Schizosaccharomyces pombe: one gene and its partners. The protein of the gene in region 4 binds, or shares a complex with, the protein of the main gene of each other region. Each region holds a gene or a part of one and is shown on either strand. Other genes may lie near its edges. A codon is read from its position in the direction of its gene.

Evidence for each region.
Region 1: the proteins of tif222 (region 4) and tif224 are in contact, whole or in part, in a crystal structure (PDB 5B04), measured with the Schizosaccharomyces pombe proteins. Residues at the interface, in NP_593435.1 of Schizosaccharomyces pombe: Ile204 (codon at 1,304), Glu233 (codon at 1,217), Phe235 (codon at 1,211), Gln239 (codon at 1,199), Lys240 (codon at 1,196), His243 (codon at 1,187), Ala244 (codon at 1,184), Ala246 (codon at 1,178), Lys247 (codon at 1,175), Ala250 (codon at 1,166), Gly253 (codon at 1,157), Ile254 (codon at 1,154), Asp255 (codon at 1,151), Thr256 (codon at 1,148), Thr257 (codon at 1,145), Val258 (codon at 1,142), Ile259 (codon at 1,139), Ser260 (codon at 1,136), Asp261 (codon at 1,133), Ala262 (codon at 1,130), Thr263 (codon at 1,127), Ile264 (codon at 1,124), Phe265 (codon at 1,121), Ala266 (codon at 1,118), Ile267 (codon at 1,115), Ser269 (codon at 1,109), Arg270 (codon at 1,106), Ser291 (codon at 1,043), Gly292 (codon at 1,040), Gln294 (codon at 1,034); in NP_594503.1 of Schizosaccharomyces pombe: Ile122 (codon at 2,209), Phe123 (codon at 2,206), Tyr274 (codon at 1,753), Ser301 (codon at 1,672), Arg302 (codon at 1,669), Phe305 (codon at 1,660), Arg308 (codon at 1,651), Leu311 (codon at 1,642), Lys312 (codon at 1,639), Thr315 (codon at 1,630), Glu316 (codon at 1,627), Cys321 (codon at 1,612), Thr322 (codon at 1,609), Tyr323 (codon at 1,606), Val324 (codon at 1,603), Met325 (codon at 1,600), Ile326 (codon at 1,597), Ser327 (codon at 1,594), Ala328 (codon at 1,591), Leu329 (codon at 1,588), Ser330 (codon at 1,585), Tyr331 (codon at 1,582), Ile332 (codon at 1,579), Gln334 (codon at 1,573), Ala356 (codon at 1,507), Gly357 (codon at 1,504), Ser359 (codon at 1,498), Leu360 (codon at 1,495), Leu363 (codon at 1,486), Leu364 (codon at 1,483).
Region 2: the proteins of tif222 (region 4) and gcn3 are in contact, whole or in part, in a crystal structure (PDB 5B04), measured with the Schizosaccharomyces pombe proteins. Residues at the interface, in NP_593435.1 of Schizosaccharomyces pombe: Tyr137 (codon at 1,551), Ser138 (codon at 1,548), Ser139 (codon at 1,545), Met140 (codon at 1,542), Leu141 (codon at 1,539), Asn142 (codon at 1,536), Leu143 (codon at 1,533), Leu144 (codon at 1,530), Gly145 (codon at 1,527), Arg146 (codon at 1,524), Pro147 (codon at 1,521), Asn284 (codon at 1,064), Tyr320 (codon at 956), Tyr322 (codon at 950), Asp323 (codon at 947), Glu325 (codon at 941), Ser376 (codon at 788), Tyr379 (codon at 779), Arg380 (codon at 776); in NP_588203.1 of Schizosaccharomyces pombe: Ile40 (codon at 1,795), Ile85 (codon at 1,603), Phe86 (codon at 1,600), Arg88 (codon at 1,594), Phe89 (codon at 1,591), Arg92 (codon at 1,582), His106 (codon at 1,485), Asn110 (codon at 1,473), Leu113 (codon at 1,464), Phe114 (codon at 1,461), Arg117 (codon at 1,452), Ala118 (codon at 1,449), Leu128 (codon at 1,419), Pro131 (codon at 1,410), Leu132 (codon at 1,407), Arg134 (codon at 1,401), Tyr241 (codon at 1,080), Ser246 (codon at 1,065), His247 (codon at 966), Phe249 (codon at 960), Leu323 (codon at 738), Ile325 (codon at 732), Ile326 (codon at 729), Asp327 (codon at 726), Ser328 (codon at 723), Ser330 (codon at 717), Gly331 (codon at 714), Glu334 (codon at 705), Glu335 (codon at 702), Leu336 (codon at 699).
Region 3: the proteins of tif222 (region 4) and tif225 are in contact, whole or in part, in a crystal structure (PDB 5B04), measured with the Schizosaccharomyces pombe proteins. Residues at the interface, in NP_593435.1 of Schizosaccharomyces pombe: Glu7 (codon at 1,993), His8 (codon at 1,990), Ser14 (codon at 1,972), Ser15 (codon at 1,969), Lys21 (codon at 1,951), Ser22 (codon at 1,948), Arg23 (codon at 1,945), Ala68 (codon at 1,810), Glu325 (codon at 941), Gln329 (codon at 929), Leu330 (codon at 926), Ser331 (codon at 923), Ser332 (codon at 920), Pro333 (codon at 917), Asp334 (codon at 914), Met337 (codon at 905), Ser338 (codon at 902), Phe339 (codon at 899), Asn340 (codon at 896), Gly342 (codon at 890), Ile345 (codon at 881), Ser346 (codon at 878), Arg347 (codon at 875), Glu349 (codon at 869), Leu351 (codon at 863), Tyr354 (codon at 854); in NP_594285.1 of Schizosaccharomyces pombe: Leu88 (codon at 2,458), Pro89 (codon at 2,455), Ser90 (codon at 2,452), Arg160 (codon at 2,242), Glu161 (codon at 2,239), Ala162 (codon at 2,236), Ser163 (codon at 2,233), His166 (codon at 2,224), Arg167 (codon at 2,221), Thr168 (codon at 2,218), Ile219 (codon at 2,065), Glu268 (codon at 1,918), Asn269 (codon at 1,915), Tyr270 (codon at 1,912), Asp286 (codon at 1,864), Arg290 (codon at 1,852), Trp291 (codon at 1,849), Tyr293 (codon at 1,843), Pro294 (codon at 1,840), Asp298 (codon at 1,828), Ser299 (codon at 1,825), Asn300 (codon at 1,822), Leu301 (codon at 1,819), Asn303 (codon at 1,813), Tyr308 (codon at 1,798), Arg310 (codon at 1,792), His311 (codon at 1,789), Gln312 (codon at 1,786).

Annotation. Positions count from the first base shown.
Region 1 is NC_003424.3:4,255,994-4,260,307, reverse strand, and holds tif224 (translation initiation factor eIF2B delta subunit tif224), read right to left. Parts: upstream 2,609-4,314; 5' UTR 2,573-2,608; coding exon 1,169-2,572; 3' UTR 525-1,168; downstream 1-524. Other genes in the region: iba57 (iron-sulfur cluster biogenesis IBA57-like protein), read right to left, coding at 13-207; cyclophilin family peptidyl-prolyl cis-trans isomerase Cyp8, read left to right, coding at 2,824-3,035, 3,176-4,090, 4,156-4,314. UniProt on the Schizosaccharomyces pombe protein: Acts as a component of the translation initiation factor 2B (eIF2B) complex, which catalyzes the exchange of GDP for GTP on the eukaryotic initiation factor 2 (eIF2) complex gamma subunit.
Region 2 is NC_003421.2:1,464,095-1,467,935, forward strand, and holds gcn3 (translation initiation factor eIF2B alpha subunit Gcn3), read right to left. Parts: upstream 1,926-3,841; 5' UTR 1,913-1,925; coding exon 1,759-1,912; exon of another isoform or gene 1,702-1,758; coding exon 1,562-1,701; exon of another isoform or gene 1,507-1,561; coding exon 1,064-1,506; intron 968-1,063; coding exon 679-967; 3' UTR 536-678; downstream 1-535. Other genes in the region: elongator complex subunit Elp4, read right to left, coding at 1-244.
Region 3 is NC_003424.3:3,668,623-3,673,351, forward strand, and holds tif225 (translation initiation factor eIF2B epsilon subunit tif225), read right to left. Parts: upstream 2,885-4,729; 5' UTR 2,876-2,884; coding exon 2,818-2,875; exon of another isoform or gene 2,774-2,817; coding exon 2,712-2,773; exon of another isoform or gene 2,669-2,711; coding exon 2,544-2,668; exon of another isoform or gene 2,475-2,543; coding exon 683-2,474; 3' UTR 508-682; downstream 1-507. Other genes in the region: stress-responsive DNA-binding transcription factor Prr1, read left to right, coding at 1-53; V-type ATPase inhibitor and disassembly protein in response to oxidative stress Oxr1, read right to left, coding at 3,911-4,477. UniProt on the Schizosaccharomyces pombe protein: Acts as a component of the translation initiation factor 2B (eIF2B) complex, which catalyzes the exchange of GDP for GTP on the eukaryotic initiation factor 2 (eIF2) complex gamma subunit.
Region 4 is NC_003424.3:1,671,645-1,675,436, forward strand, and holds tif222 (translation initiation factor eIF2B beta subunit), read right to left. Parts: upstream 2,033-3,792; 5' UTR 2,012-2,032; coding exon 1,798-2,011; intron 1,746-1,797; coding exon 1,355-1,745; exon of another isoform or gene 1,337-1,354; intron 1,309-1,336; coding exon 732-1,308; 3' UTR 553-731; downstream 1-552. Other genes in the region: glutamyl-tRNA amidotransferase beta subunit Gta2, read left to right, coding at 1-427; tit1 (tRNA isopentenyltransferase), read left to right, coding at 2,303-3,607. UniProt on the Schizosaccharomyces pombe protein: Acts as a component of the translation initiation factor 2B (eIF2B) complex, which catalyzes the exchange of GDP for GTP on the eukaryotic initiation factor 2 (eIF2) complex gamma subunit.

The DNA of each region.
Region 1 (4,314 bases), 2.6 Mb from region 4:
CAAGCTCCTTACCTGTGTATTTAAGAAGCCCGTGTATACAGGATTATCTAAAGTTATTTTGTTGGTCGTTAAGCCCTGAAGAAACTTGACTGCATCAACTCCTTCAACACGAATGAGAGATTTCGATGAATTTAGACAAACGCTGTAATTTCTAAATAGCTGGAATGAGAACTTTATAAACTTGCTCCTAACGGTGAACCTATTCATTGCCCATAGGTAAAGTACTTGAATTCACTTGGTTTCCTGAGGCTAGAATAGGACTCTTTTACAGTAAACCGAATTTCTAAAATCGATAAGTGGTTGAGATGATGATTTCGCATCACATTGTTTTTGTTACTTTTCGGGGGAATCCAAGGAGGATATGGCAAAATTATTAGTGTATATTATAAAGATATATATTATTATTTGTTTGCAATACAGTAATATCACTGTAGGAAAAAAACCTAAGGTCAAAACATACTGAAGATGAATTTTCTTCGATGAGGAACAAAATTTCCCTTTTCTTAAAAAAATAATATTTAATTCTGGTGTTTATTACTAGAATCGCTCTTAAATTATTACAGGTTTTAGATCATAAGCTGACATCAAGCGTAAAGCTTGTGATGCAAAATTTTATTTCAGCTTCGAACATCAGTTCTATAATTTAAAAAAAAAAAAATTGAATATCGAGTAACAGCTTTCTATTTTGTGTCTTAAAAAAAAAGAGATTGCAAGTTTTCTCCGATATATCCGAAGCATCAGCATACTATAGCCGGAAATGAAGTGATGAAATGACATTGTACGATCCCTGCTCATTTCATTTCATCTACAAATATTAACCATTAATACAACAAAAGAACATCATTACTCTTAACCATGCCAATAGCTCCCCTTGGATATACCAATATGTCAAAAATCATGTTGAGACAATTTAAATGCCAATATATAATCTACATGGAAAAATTAGAACAGTTTAGGTTCCTTTAAGAAAAGAGTAAACAATGAACTTTTGTAAATTTAAATATAATGAATTTTTTATTTTCACACAAACCAAATCTTCCAAGCATTGAGAAAGGAATGAGAAATAACAAAGGGAAAATGAAAGGTACTTCAAGGAAGCAAACATGGATATGCTCATAAATTACCTCTGAGGTGGACGAAACAAAAAAACAAAAGGAAATTAGAGAAATTAAGCATAAACCTGTTTGAACTCGTTTATGATAGCCGGTACCGAGGTTGAAGGTAAAAGCCCCATTTCACAAACACATACAGTAATTAGACGAGGTGGAGTAACATCGTATTTTAGACTGAGTAATTTTAAGTTCTTAACACTTTTCCAATTTGCGAGTACACCAGGTTTTTCTTCAAAGTCATCCACACCCATGTTTACAAGTTGATCGCCAGGTGCAAGTTCATTGTATACCAACGAATCCAATTGAATGCGCTCAGTAAATTTATAAGACTCGCAACACGCTATTACTGGAACATTAGACTCGTGTCCCAAAAGGGAAATTAAAGAGGTACCGGCACGAGAATATAGAGCACCATTCGAAAGCATAGCATGGCCTCCAAGGAAAATTTTGGTCACTTCTTGCATGATATAGGAAAGCGCTGAAATCATGACATAGGTACATTCAATCCCATGCTCGGTCAACAGCTTCAAACAAACCCGGCCTTCAAATTCTGGACGAGAGTCTACCACGACAACCCGGAATTTTTTACCAACATTCTTAGCATGAATGAGAACATCGTTTACTGTCGAAGAGTGCAAGTACGTTAAAATGACATCTCCGTCTTGTATTTTTTCGGTTGCTGCTTGTACGATGACTTGTCCTGCAATGATAATACGATCGCGAATATAACTGTCAATTTTTTCCAGAAGCAATTCTTTTCCCTCGTCGTCGGTAAGGTCAATGTCTAAAACAGAAATTTCGAGTTTTAAAAAGCGAATGGCGTTCCCCATACTGATACTCAACGGACGAGTTGATACTAAATAAGCAATTTGAGAATTTATATGCGTGGTCAGATGCCTGCTCAACGTCGTACCGTAGGGTGTTTGATAATCTTGGATGACGATTTTAAAAGTTTTCAACAAATCAATACAGCGCTGATTCGATCCAAAAATCTTATAATTTGCAAGTTTTAAACCCAAACGAATAACAGCAGGATGGATATCTTTCGGAATATTTTCAGTGGTTCTACGACGTCTCCAATCGAGGTGCGAAAAGATAGAAACTTGCTTTTCCTCAAAAATCTTTTTTTCTTGCAAATTAGCATCAGTTTCTGGACTATTCTGCGGGTTTTGTTTCGATGCCTTCTTTTGTTGGTTACTATTTTTATTAGGGATAGCTACCTTTTTTTCTTCTGAAACACCGGGTGGATTATTCGCGGCAGCTGCTTCGGCTTTTGCTCTTCTACTTGCTTGTTTTCTGGCCTTTTTCAACGCTTTTGCCTCCTTCCCTGAAAGTTTTGGCTCATTGGGAGAAACGACAGAAGAAGCTGTAGCTGGAGATGTTCCTCCCACACTAGAGCTTTCACTAACAGGGCTTTGATCCTTCCCATCCTTTTTTGCTTGTTCTGCTGAGAACCCCATCAGAAAATCAATATTTCTATTAAATTGGTTTGTTTTGGTAGAAGCGTAGATGAGTTTAGCTATAACACCCAACGTGCGCTTAGTGACCTTACCCTTACTACACCAACGCTATTCGACAACGTATACTTGTAGTTCGCATATATATTACTAGAAATTAATTACTTTATCGCCTTAAAATATCATAAAATTAAGAACTTTTATTTTTATTTTTTATAACCGTACAAACGTATTTATGATATTTATTAACAGGAATGGGCAAAAATACAGACAAACTGTACATTACACAAACTGAGCATTCGGGTGTGCATGGGTGGCATGGTGGTATGAGTGGCATAGCCCAAAAGAACAGTACCACAAGTTACAAACAACTTCCTTTTAATTATTGCTCTCTTTCCTTGCAGCCCTTTAACCATCCTTGTTGTCTTGTGGATGAAACCAAGCAAGCCATTATTTTCGATTTTAGGTATGTAAATCACTATTAGATGTGAGTTTCGAAGCAAATTTTTTGGTATTAAATGATATTTGTTTACCAACTAATCTAGTTGCTTTTGGAAATCTTTCATTCTTCATAAAAAAGTGGTGATGAGCGCTAACATGTGTTAGATTTATTGTTCCTTGGCTTCGAAAACATGGTACTAATCCTATTAATGGACAAAAGGCATCAATGTCAGATTTAATAAAGCTCAAGTTTGCAAAAAACAGTGCTGAAGAGTATTGTGATCCAGTTACGATGAAAAGCTTTACGCGCTTTTCACACATCGTGGCTATCCGTTCTACAGGGAATTGTTTTTCTTGGGATACTATTGAACGTTTGAACATAAAACCAAAACATTGGAGGGATCTCGTGAACGAAGAGCAATTTACCAGAGACGACATAATTACCATCCAGGATCCTCATAACGTTGAGAACCGAGATTTTTCGGCCATTCAAAAACAAAAGGAAACCGCAAGAGATGAAAAAATAACCAAGGCCAAAATTGCTTTACAAGCATCTCGCGCCAAGTCAACGGAGTCAACTTCATCACCTGAGTTATCGCATTCTCTCGATTCATCTAAATCTATAGCTTCTGATATGCCAATTCATCGCGCATCCCATACAACTGGTTATGCTGCAGCTTCCTTAACCTCCACATCATTTACTCCTGTAACGAAGAATGAAAGAGCAATTATTGCTGAAGAAGATTATATGCTTAACCATACGCGGATCAAGCACAAAGGATACGCGCGTATTGTTACTAATCACGGAGAAATTAATATTGAGTTGCATACAGACTATGCACCCCATGCTGTTTACAATTTTGTCCAGCTTGCCAAGCAGGGCTATTATCGTAATACAATTTTTCATCGCAATATTGCTAGATTTATGATTCAAGGAGGTGATCCTAGTGGAACTGGAAGAGGTGGTCAAAGTATTTGGGGCAAGCCGTTTAAGGACGAGTTTTGTAACCCTTTAAAGCATGACGATCGTGGAATTATATCTATGGCCAATCGTGGAAAAAATACCAATGGAAGTCAATTGTAAGTGTTTTCTTCTCTATTTTTTAAAAGCTTCAAAGAAATGCAAGTGCTAACCTGATTTATAGCTTTATATTGTATGGACCAGCGAAACATTTGGACAATAAACATACAATATTTGGTCGAGTTGTCGGTGGTTTAAATGTTTTGGATGCTCTTGAAAAAGTCCCTACCAACAGTAATGATCACCCCAAGTTACCAATCAAGCTTGAAGACATCATAATATT
Region 2 (3,841 bases), on a different chromosome or scaffold from region 4:
GCCAAATAACATGGTCCTGTTTAAGGCCTTCCGCTGCAAAAAATTTAAGTAGCACAGAAGCATAATCCATCGAATCTTCCTCTATAACCAGCAAACTTTTCATTGGAATGCCGCCAGACAAATAGTAGTCAAAAGAAGAACTCCCAGAGCTTGTAATCCATCTAGCATCCTTTGAAGATAGTCTAACGCCTGTCGGCAAGTTTGTTGGTGCTATTTGAGGTGCTGCTTTCCTTTTGAACGACATCAATACTTATTTCGATTGGTGTACGTGGAATAGCAAATTGGATGGAAAGGTTAACGCGACGCAAATTTGCAGCACACATTTAAGCATCATCAGTCAGAAAACAAAGAAATTCAGCGTTGCGATTGAGAAAATAAAAAATTGTTGACTAAAGTTAATCATTCAATAAAAATACCTTTTAGATAAATTTTGTTGAACTAATAATAAAATTTCACTAGTGGGCGCATTGAAACAAAAATAATATTGTAATACTACAAAATAACATAGAAAATGTTACGTCGTACAGTCAATTAGCATGATCGGAAAATGTATTACTGTTGTATTTTTGAAGATTACTTTCAATCCGAATCTAGTTGGACAAGACTTATGAGAAATTTAAGTCAACTCAAAGTACAATCTATTCATATTTTATTTTTAAGATCAGGAGAATCTGATTGCTAAAGATACAATTTAATTAGCTCTTCGCTTACCCCACTCTTCGAATCAATGATCCCTAAATCGGTAATGAGACCTGAGACAAATTCGGGTGGTGTAACATCCAAAGTAGGATTATTTCGAATTTGTTCTTCATTCATGATCAGCTCGTTATGAATAGCATCTGATGGAGTTGGAATTGGTTCAGGTTCAGGATGAACAGTTTCAGGAGATGGATCATCAAATTCCAGAATAGGACGACTAAAGGGAATATCATATTGAGAAAGGGGAAACATACGCACGAATTTATGACTAAAAAACGTTAGTACAAATTTTAAAATTAACAGGGAAATGGAGAGATCATAGGGAAAAATAATTGTAAGCTGAATGGATTCAACGTTTACGTACCTTTCTGCAACTGCGTAAAAGGGCTTATGTGCATGTTTGGCAAAAACGGCAAGTTGGAAAGTACCGATTTGATTAATGAGTCCTCCGTTTTCGACAACACCTTCTGCGCCAACCAAGACCAAATCTACACGGTTCATAGTAAAGCTTACAGCGGAATCCAAAACCATGCAAGTAGGAATACAAGCATTTTTTAATGTTCTCGTCATTAGACAGCCTGAGCCGCTAGGTCTTGATTCTGTGACAAAAACTTTGAAACGAACGTGACGCTTGGCAGCAGCCAAAAGAACAGCCGCAACACCGCGTGAAAACCCATGGGTAAGAATAACACTACCATCTCGAATAAGAGGGTAACCTAAATGTGCAATTCTTTGTCGACAAGCACGAGCACGCTGAATAAAGAGTTTTCCATTTTCTACCAAGTGACGTTTGCATTGCTCAAAATCCTAAAGCCGTGGAGAATTAGTAAAGAAAAGAAAACTACTTTGCATCAACACATACCCCGACATCGTGTAGTGATCGAGTGACAAACCGTTGGAAAATGTCACAACCAGCTGAAAGCGAAATGTTGTTTTGAACGCCTTCCTTCAGCGTATTTGAGCCATTTTGTAAAATGTCCATAAATTCTGAAATTGTCTTGGCTAATAGAAAAACATCAGTAAATTCATTTCTCACATGAGTACTACAAATTAACATACCTTGAGAGCGCGACAAAAGCTGGACTAAAGCCTCAATGGCGGCTACAGGCATCGTGATTTCTGGATCATCTTGCAAAAATTTTTTGTAAACCTGGACGATGTCAAATTCTCCTTGAGAATGTCGAACGATTCCCGAAGAATCCGATTCCACCATATTCGCAGATGCTAGACGCTCTTGCTTAGTAGCAACATCTTTTCCATACTTTAAGGATATCCAACAAAATCAAATAACGGGCAATGCCTTTTTGTATTAAATTGTAAGCTACGCAATTTGGTATCTGATTTAAGGATACGTAGAACTGCGGTGAGTTTTCCTTGTGATCTATTATATTACAATACACAGGTTGTATAAGTAGCAACTGAGTATAGGTATTGTATTAACTGAGTTATAATGTTACCTATCACTAATATAGCTCATAACTGAACTGAGGAACGAGGTTCAGCAGTAGCTCTATTTATATTATTCAGATAATATAGATCTTAATAGATTATCATTAAGATCAATCTCAATATCGTATCATACATGGTACGATATATAATTAGAACATGTGACATATAGTGATACGCAACGTAGATGATGCGATGTCGAGATTGATATTGATAATACTATATTAACAGATAGATTATTTGGATAGAATCGATAGAGATACAACTAAACCTCATTTCGCAGTTCAGTTATAAGTGATAGGTGACATTATAACCTAAATAGTACAATACCAGTACTTAGTCATTACTTATATAACCCGGCTATTATAATATAATGGATCATATGCAAAATTCACCAGTTTTTCGTATCGTTAAAGCAGATACCAAACTGCGTAGCTGACATTATACGGCGTTTTGGATACTGATCTACAGATATGTTCCTATAGATATTTATGTAGGTGATTTGAATGGTATTTACATATAAATTGGTTTATTAAATAGCTTATATTTAATTAAAGCTAAATATTGAGAATAATTTTAATATCATATTCTTGACTGAGTACATCTGAGGATAATCATGAAATTCTTCCTCGGTGATCAGTAAACAATGCTTGACTGTTGATTTCCAATATGTAACGTTCAACGATACTTATCATTGTATAGATAGTGAATTTGTAGTATAATTTACTATGTTCCTAATAGTTGAGCGTATCATGAACGAAATATGTCAAAACGCTTCCATTTTAAAAAAAAAGGAGTACTGATGAAAGCAGTAATTGGATTTGGTAAAAAGTAATATAGAAAGTTTTTTAAAAAACTATTTTATGTTTAAGAGACCTTTCAAAAGTTCATGACCATTTCTACGAGAAACTAATCTTTAGTCCAACCTTCGTAAATCTCGCTTATATTAAGCTTGATTTTACTTCGGTATTTATGGATGACGCGAACACTAAACTGGTATAGAAAAAACGCTATTACTTTCAGCATCTAAAGAAAATCATTTATGATAATTTCTATGCTTTCAATTATATCTAAATATTTACATGCTCAATCATTCAAAGCGATGCTACAAAAATATTATGTTTTAGTTGTCGACTCGAATTTCAGTAAAATCCTAACTTTATTGCTAGACATCCGTAGGTTTTCATTTATGCTATAAATCTGTGAATCACCTCGTGATCGGCAAGTTGTTAAAATAATCTTTTAAGTAACTCTAATACCATGCACTATAGTAAAGAAGGTATATATTTCTTTGCGTGCCTAGTTCTTGTTTTCAATAGCAATAGTCGTTATCTCCCATAGCTTTTAATTCTGCTCATCGATGAGAGTAACATATTCCAATATCTTCTCTACATTATCAAATCGTTTTGCAATTATAAAAATATCAATAGCTTTCGATTTCCCCCAATATGGCTAATGCTAAAATTTATAACATTGATGTAGAATTTGGCTTAGTTAAGATGCAAGTTGAAAATGTCTTATGTTTTATGATTATCAGAAAATGTTTTGTGTAGTATCTGATATTAAAAAATGCATATCAACTTTTACAATAAATTCGCTTGCGCAAAATGTATAGAGACTGCATATCTCGTTTCTTCTCCCTGCGGAGTGCCTGTAACTGGCGTCTTGCACTTTCATTCAAAATCGAAATTTTTTG
Region 3 (4,729 bases), 2.0 Mb from region 4:
CTCAACAGATGTTACAGGATCCCATTCAAGCAGACTTACAGCATCCACATTGATGGAAAAGTCTTAATGTTATATATTTCTTATTTTTACTATCAGGTCTCTTTTACTTTTGTTTTATATAAAAAACTATCTATCACTTCTGTTTGATTTAGTTAAAGGTTTAATCTTTGGTCTATGTATCTATGTTCTCTTTGGGGTTCAAGTTAAGGCTTTCTTTTCGAAGAAAGGCTTTTCATATCCCATGACTAGTTGTTTAAATTCCACAAATTCCAAACAGTGTCGGAATTGTCTTTCATATCAACTACAACTAGAAACATGTACAGAAGAGACATAATCAATATAACTTTTCAGTTTTTGCATTGTATTTTAGCCACTATTTTCTTCGGTTTGCTCAAATTATATTATCTTCATTCGCTTGTTGTATTTCTTACATTTCAGCTAAAAATATTGAATTCGTCCAACTGATATTATCGTAAATAACTATGCGTGTAATTAACAGAATAGTGCTGGATTTTAACAACGCGCCCTGTAGACCAAAATTTTATTTTTCTTCTCTATCGTATTATTATTTGCTAGAAAATAATAGCCAGCTAAATTATGAGTGACCCTTTTTTTTTGAGTAGACAGAAACCACTTTCATAACACTGTTTTAAGTCAGAGTTCAGGATTTGTAAGGGAACTATTATTCTGACCCTTCTTCACTCTCGCTTTCACTTTCAGCAGTATTCAACCAGTCGACAAATTGTTTGCCACCGGCATCACGAAGCGCAGCCAATTCTCCTTCGCTAGAGCGGGGATCAGAATACCATTCTTGAATGGCATTCTCTTCAGCAATTTCTAATTGGTAGAAATATCCCAAAAGTTGTAAAAAGTGCCGAGTCATACTCAAACGGACACAGTACTTCTGCAGCGTTAATACGTTGTCAACTTGCTCTTCATGGCTAAATGTCAGTTTTGCAAGCAATGGACCCCAACGTGTCATTACTTTTGCTAGTGCCTCCTTGGGGGATACATCTAAGTGCATGATACGCCTTAAAAGAGCAAGAACAATTGCGGATCGCACCTCGTGATAGTTGGCATTCATGGCCATTCGGAGGGTATTGAGTTCAAGAGCAGCAATATCAATTTGGTGGTTTTCTTCAAAGGCACGTTCAAGACTCTGCTGAGCTTCCTTGTTGAAATCTCCTTCATCGAAATCCTCTGAGTTAATTGTATTGGCAGAATCGCGTCTAGCTGAAAAGGGAATAAATTCCATATCTTCTTCAGAAGACGAACTTGTCTCTGAAGATTCTGAATCAGATAAATGTAACTCATTTGTACTTTCAATAAGCCCTGAAGCCTCCATAAACTCTCCCTCATCATCAGAATCCTCTTCGGCATGATATTCTTGACCACGTCCACCAATCCCTACCAAAGATGGATCGTTCAAAGTTCCTTGAGAGTGACTCTCGAAAGTTGTAAGACGCTTATTTTTTTCAATTATTGTATTATCCCCAATAACAACGCCTGCAGCTACTATAGCACCATCTTCAATTGAACAATTATTTCCAATTTTTACAGAATTGGCAAGAATGGCTTTGCCAATTCGACAATTATCTCCAATGACAACATCTTCCCAAAGGAAAGCACTGTCTATACTACAATTGCTGCCTATGGTACAATTCCTACCAATGATAGTATTCGCAACCACAGACGCATCACCGACTTTGGTATAGGCACCGATCAAAGTTCGTGCCTTAATAATGCAAGAACGAGCAAGAACAACGTCTTCTTCCTTATAAATCTGATGTCTTTGATAACTAAAAGTTTGGTTAAGAAGATTGCTATCGGGAACAAAAGGATAGACCCATCGAGAAAGAACATCTTTGCTAATAGCATCATAAGTTTGAAGACTACGAACACGAGCTGCATAATTTTCTTTAGCAACATGGCAATGAATCTTTTTTCCTAAAAGATCAGAGGTTAAAACACCATATACGAAGTCTTTTCGAATGTCTTGGTAATCAAAGTTTTCAGTAAAAAGGGCAGGTACATCATTGGAGCAAATGTCAATTTGACAGTCAATCAAATCATTTCGAACCTCCAACTCTTCATGCTCATTAAAGATTTCGGGATCCATAGAAACATAATGTTTTCCCCTTTCGTTAGCTTGATAATGCACGCATTGGCTGGTCTTTTTATCTATCACGAAAACAGAACTCTCTGTACGGGCGCGTGTACGATGAAATGGACTTGCTTCTCGTACAACCATTGTCATAATAGCATTTTTATCATCTTCACGGCGCTTCCGATGTTCTTTCAAAACTTCGTTTAGAGGCACATTGGATACCACATCGCCTGATACGAGTATGAAATCGGAGGTAATTAGCTGTTTTGAATCGAGCTCTCTTAAAGCATCACCAACCGACAGAGATTCTCTTGACACAATCGTGTTTACACTAAAGGGGGAAGAGGGAAGATTCCACTTTGACTTTCTGTGGGTTATATTGTGTTAGTTATATCGTATCAGAAATTCGAATTTAAGACCTCAATTTAGCACATACTCTATATATTCTCGAATTTGTCCTGCATGGGCACAGCAAAATACATAAACTTCTTGCACCCCGGCCAATGCCAAAAACTCAAAAGTGTACTCTATTAAAGGGGTATTTGCTAAAGGAAGAAGACACTAATAATATTAGTACTTAAAGTGTACACTGGTAATTGCATACGCGAGGTTTATCTAATGTAAGAGGGCGAAACCGATAATTATAAGAATCCGACAAAACAATCGCTAAAAATTAGTAACAAACACTTTTTGAATCCCAAAAACATTACCTTGCAGAGCGTGTTTTGGCTTTTCTAGCTTGCCATTCAGCCCTTTGGATGGAGGCATTTCGACAATGTAGAGGGATTAGACATATTTCTCAATATCATTTAAGCCCAAACAGTCATTTAAGGATGCCGTGCTCCACTGCCTTATAACTTAAAGATTATTCTAAACAATTCATCAACTAGAGACTAAAAAGGAATTTATAAAGACGTTAATAATCAAAGAGTAATTAAATTTAGGATATTAAATTTGCATAGCTCATTTCTTTTATAGTTTATTGGCGAAAGAAAGTGGTTTTATTTAAGTAACCACAAAAATTCCACATAATAAACAGAAGATATAAACGGTGATTTATCCTGTTAAGTTGGTAAATTTTGTCAATTTGTTTTCTACAATTGGGTAGTGGTTGCAAACATTTTACTAATCTTATGGTAGTTTATCGAGATTTGAATACAGGTTTCAAGTGTTTACACGGTAATCAAAAAGAAACATAATAAATAAAACTTCATAATAATTATTATTACTGATATAAAGTGGATGGTAGAAATCGATTCGTCAATTAGGGACGATACGAATTGTTGATGAAAAGCAACCACGTGAATAAATATACTAAGTGTAGCATTAAAAGTTATGAATAGAAAAAGAGAAAATTAATAAATAATAGACAATTGGGGAGAAGATATTGGGGATGCTCTTCATTTGATTCGTTCACTCAATGCATAAGGCGTAAAGAAATTAATAGCAAGGATATTCATGCTTGATCAATTAACAAACGTAATCTTCCGGAATTGAGAAGAAGTATTAAAAATTAGCTGATGATAGAAAGCTATACATCACAAATGGGAGGGAAGAGTCCTACGGCTCGAATTTCTGGTAAACTCGATATTCATTGATTGAACATGCAAATCAACGAGTTAACTTGAATTAAGAATAATAATCAATGCATAGAGTCAGCATAAAATTGTCTTTGGTTGAATAAATTAGTCATAAAGAAAGCACGGTAAAATATTAATCTTGATATAAATATAAAACTTGGGCTGATGCACATTTCCGAGTCCATCTTTTATTTTCTTTTTTCTTTTCATTCGTTAGTTGATATTACTCCAATACCCAGAGCTCGATGTCCACGATTTGGATTCGTTGGTCAGGACAGCCACGATAGCTCAAAGGATTGTTTTCGAATGCAGGAGTACGACTAGAGTAAGCGTACTCTAGAGAGCCATCAAGCCAAAGGCTGTATCTTCCATTACCCCCACCAAATGCCAAAAAGCTTTTGGTGCAATATGCAACAAAATTGGAATTTCCTACGAAAGGGTAATGTACATACTTTTTGGGAGGAAAATATTTCCACAAGAAGGTTTCCTCGGAACCAAAGTAATGAGGTGCAGGAATTAAATAATCAGGGATAAAAACTCCAAAAACATCGCCGTCTGTATCGCGCACAGCTAAAATGCAAGCCCCTTTAGGATGGCCGCTTCGAGCTTTTTCCTTTTCGCAGGCTAAGTACATTGTTTGAAGAGATGCGCCGTCATGTTGCAACGAATAGATTCGTTTCCAAGTTTCAGCAGAAGCATATCTTGCTGGCAAGTTCTCAACGATGTGACTGGCCAATTCATCTGTTATTAAGCCGTCTTTAACACTATACTGTCTTGTAAAGTTAAACATTTCAATTGATACAAAATACTTGCTAAAATTTTGTACTCTTATGGTGTGTGTAGTTAGAAAGATTAAGGTGATCCACTAGCCTTATGTAATAAGTAAACAAATAAATAATTGTGAATACAATAACAAACACTGAAATAAACAACAGTAAGTGTATTCTTTAATTTTCCAAAGAAGAAGTTTTTCTTAATAAAGGTATTCTTATTGATCCTTTTTTATTGTTTTTTTTGAGAAATCGAGTAAATAATTTTTTTG
Region 4 (3,792 bases):
ACGTACCCTTCCATACTGGATCACTGTGGAACTAGTAGGAAAAGTTCGTGAAATTGACCCTTCCCCTAACATCAATATCGTTCCTCCTTTGCAATTGGCTGACATTGTACTTCTTGTTTCCAAGAAGAAACTTACAGCTGCATCTGCTAAACTCTTCCTTCGTTCATTGATAAAATCACCTTCATCGAAACCTATATCTACTCTCATCCAAGAAAAAAATTTTGGTACCATTGGCGATTCCGAGAAAATAAAAGCTTGTGTAGAAAGTGTTCTTAGTAAACATTCAAAACAATTTGAAGAGTTGAAAAATGGTAAAACTTCCCTTATAAAGTGGTTTGTTGGCCTTACGATGAGAGAGCTTCGAGGACAAGCAAGTCCCAAAGACATTGAGATGGAAGTGCAAAGCAGTTTACGAAGGGAAAAGTAATCAAATTGGTTTGTATATTAGTGGCCCTAGTTTTTTTAATTACTGCATATTTCAAATCATTAGACAATGAAAGGAAACTCGTTAAAATTCATAGTCCATTTACTTTAATTTCAAAGTTTTATTTTGCTGAGTTAATTGCCTGTATTACTTGCAACAGAAACCCACAGTTAAAAAAATTCAATCTAATGTAACCCATGTTATTTATTCCAAAATTTTAATATTTACCTAAACACGTGTAAAGAAATTTGATAAACTTGATTTAATAGGTAATCAATTTTCCAAGAGAAAATAGAATGCAAACTCTTTAAAGAATTGTATCGCTTGCATCATAAGTATCATTCATAATACGATAAAGGTAGGAAGGAGGATAGCCACCCAAATTGGTAATAAACAGATCTACTAGGTCTGGTGGGATGTAATCATAGTAAGGGTTTAAAATTTCAGCGCGGCTTATTAGATCACCTTCATTAAAGGACATAATTTTATCAGGTGAAGACAGTTGGATAATGGATTCTAAGTCATAAGGGTAAACAGGGCTAAGCTTATAAATACCCGAACACACCACTACGGGAGTAGCATGGTGCCTGGCAGCCTGAGCAACTAATTGGGCTCCACTATAGGTTACCAATCCTCCGTTACCCAAGATTGCATGCGTACCAAGTATAACTTTATTCACGCGTGACATGATTGCAAAAATCGTAGCATCAGATATAACAGTTGTATCAATACCAGCCTGAGCTAATCGCTTTGCCATGGCATGAGAACCTTTTTGGTTATTGGGAAATCCTTCTGCAACAATCACTGAAAATTTGCGTTTCTTTGCGGCAAAACGGAGAAAAGCTTCAACAGTTTTTGAGCAACCCTGAGTTAAAATAATTTCACTAAAAAGGTTAGCTAACTGATAAGATGTTTAGCATGACACCATACTTTGAATGCAAATGGTCCATTGATTGAACTTCAATATCAGTATTAATCTTGTCCAACTCATCGATTACATCTTGGATGCCAGATATGATCACAGCGCGCATATCCATGCCACCGGTGACCCTACTGTCACCGACGGTTTTACTATGTGTGGGAGACTCAAGAGTAGGACGACCTAATAAATTAAGCATAGAAGAGTACATCTGAACTGAAACAGGTTCGTGACTTTGAACCAATTTTTCGTTAGAGGGAATGTCTCTTTTTTGAGAAGGGCTAGAAGAGTTCGATGAAGAAACGATTAACTTCTCATTTTCATCAGCAGTCTTTAATAATTCTTGATATTCTTCGCGGATTAAGCGTAAAATTCTTCTAATAATATTTCCACAAGAAAATTCTTCACGGTTTAGCATGTAACACAATAAAAGAATATGATTCAAAATACATACCAGTAGGTTGAGCCTTGACAAGAGTAGATCCAACAGCACGGACTGTATCAATTAATTGATCAACTGTTGACCAGCGAGTTTGAGAAATCACTTGTCTCATTACCAGCGCCGTTTCAACGGCAACTGCAAAGGGGCCTTGTACCTTTCTTGACTTTAAGTCTGCTATCAAGCTACTTACAGCCGGATAGGTATGTTCAACATTAATAGTTGACATTTTCAGGCGATGGGAAACGACAAGTAGTGTTTACATGTTAATAACGAACAAATACGAACGCTGTAAAAATGTAATAACTTGTTTACAGTAATTAAAACATCGTTAAAGCATATACCGAAGTTGACGCCGCAATAAAGGAACGGGGATAGTGAACCAAAACAAAATGTAAGGTAAAATCAGTTGGTAAAGAGCCAGGCTTGCTTGGGAAAATTTGGGAAATGGATTTGTTAGTCTAAGCTTGATTCGGTGTGTAATCTATTGAAGATAAGGTAAAAATCTATATCTTATAAAATGTTAAAGCCCCTTTGCGTTGTCATCGGTACTACAGGAGCTGGTAAGTCGGATTTAGCAGTTCAGCTGGCGAAACGGTTTGGAAGCCAAGTCATTAATGCTGACTCGATGCAAATTTATCGGGGATTTGATACTATAACCAATAAAATTACTGTGGAAGAGCAAGAGAATGTTCATCATCGCTTGATGTCCTTCTTGAACTTTGACAAAGAATACAGTGTTCCCGAGTTTGAACGAGATGCCTCCCGCGTAATTGACGAGATTCACAGTCAAGGAAAGATACCTATTGTGGTTGGAGGGACTCATTATTATTTGCAGTCCCTTTTGTTTGAAGATACTACTTTGTCGGCTATTGATAAATTGACGAACGATTCATCACCTAGTAAGCCACCCCATCCGGACTCTCATATCTTGGATGATGATCCATCTGCTATGCTTTCGTATTTAAAAAAGATAGATCCCGTGATGGCTGAGCAATGGCATCCTCGGGATACTCGTAAAATTCGAAGAAGCCTAGAGATATATTTTCACACCGGTCGACCGCCATCTGAAATTTATTCTGAGCAAAAAATGAAGTCAAGTGGCTCTAAACTTCGATACAAATCTCTAATATTTTGGGCGTTCGCAGATTCTTTAGTCTTAATGCCGCGACTTGATAAACGTGTTGACAAAATGCTAAGCCATGGATTGGTTGATGAAATAAAAAGCATGAAGAGTCTTGCTGAAAGTGAAAAATTTTCTCCTGATTTCACCCGTGGGATTTGGCAATGTATTGGATTTAAAGAATTCATGCCATGGTTTGAAGCGCCTTCGGATATAGTCTTTAATGATTGTTTAGAACGAATGAAGGTTTCTACTAGACAGTATGCAAAATCTCAGAAGAAATGGATCCAAAGTCGATTCCTCCCGATGTGTTTGGCTCAACAAGATTTATCCCCTTCTTCAATTCTATTTTCCACCACAAACACTACGGACTTGAACAATTGGGAAGAGCAAGTTGAAAAGGCTTGTAGAGTATTTCAATATTTTTTTTATAATGGCGATGCCATTGCTCCATCTGCTGATGATCAGCACGCTTTCGAAAAAGCCAGAGATTATCTCTCCATAATGAACGGTCGCCAATCTCAGAAAAAGAAGTTCGTTTGCGAGGAATGTTTAGACAAGCGGGGTGATCCATTCACTGTAATAGGAGAAGATGCGTTCAATGTCCATATTAAAAGTAGGAAGCATAAAACCACGGTGCGACGTAAAAAAGAAAGAGCTGAGCGTCAAATTCGTTTAAAAAACATTGGAATTTTAAAATGAAGTCCATATTGTATTTATTATTATATTTTTGGTCATGTTCATAATATAAGTCATAAAAAGCTATGGAGAATGGTCATTATTGAAGTATTCAAGATGGATGCACAGTGTTTATTTATCCAGATTTAGAGCGTTAACTTGTAAGCTAATAGTGAAATTTATTATTATATACGCATGCTACGAACTAG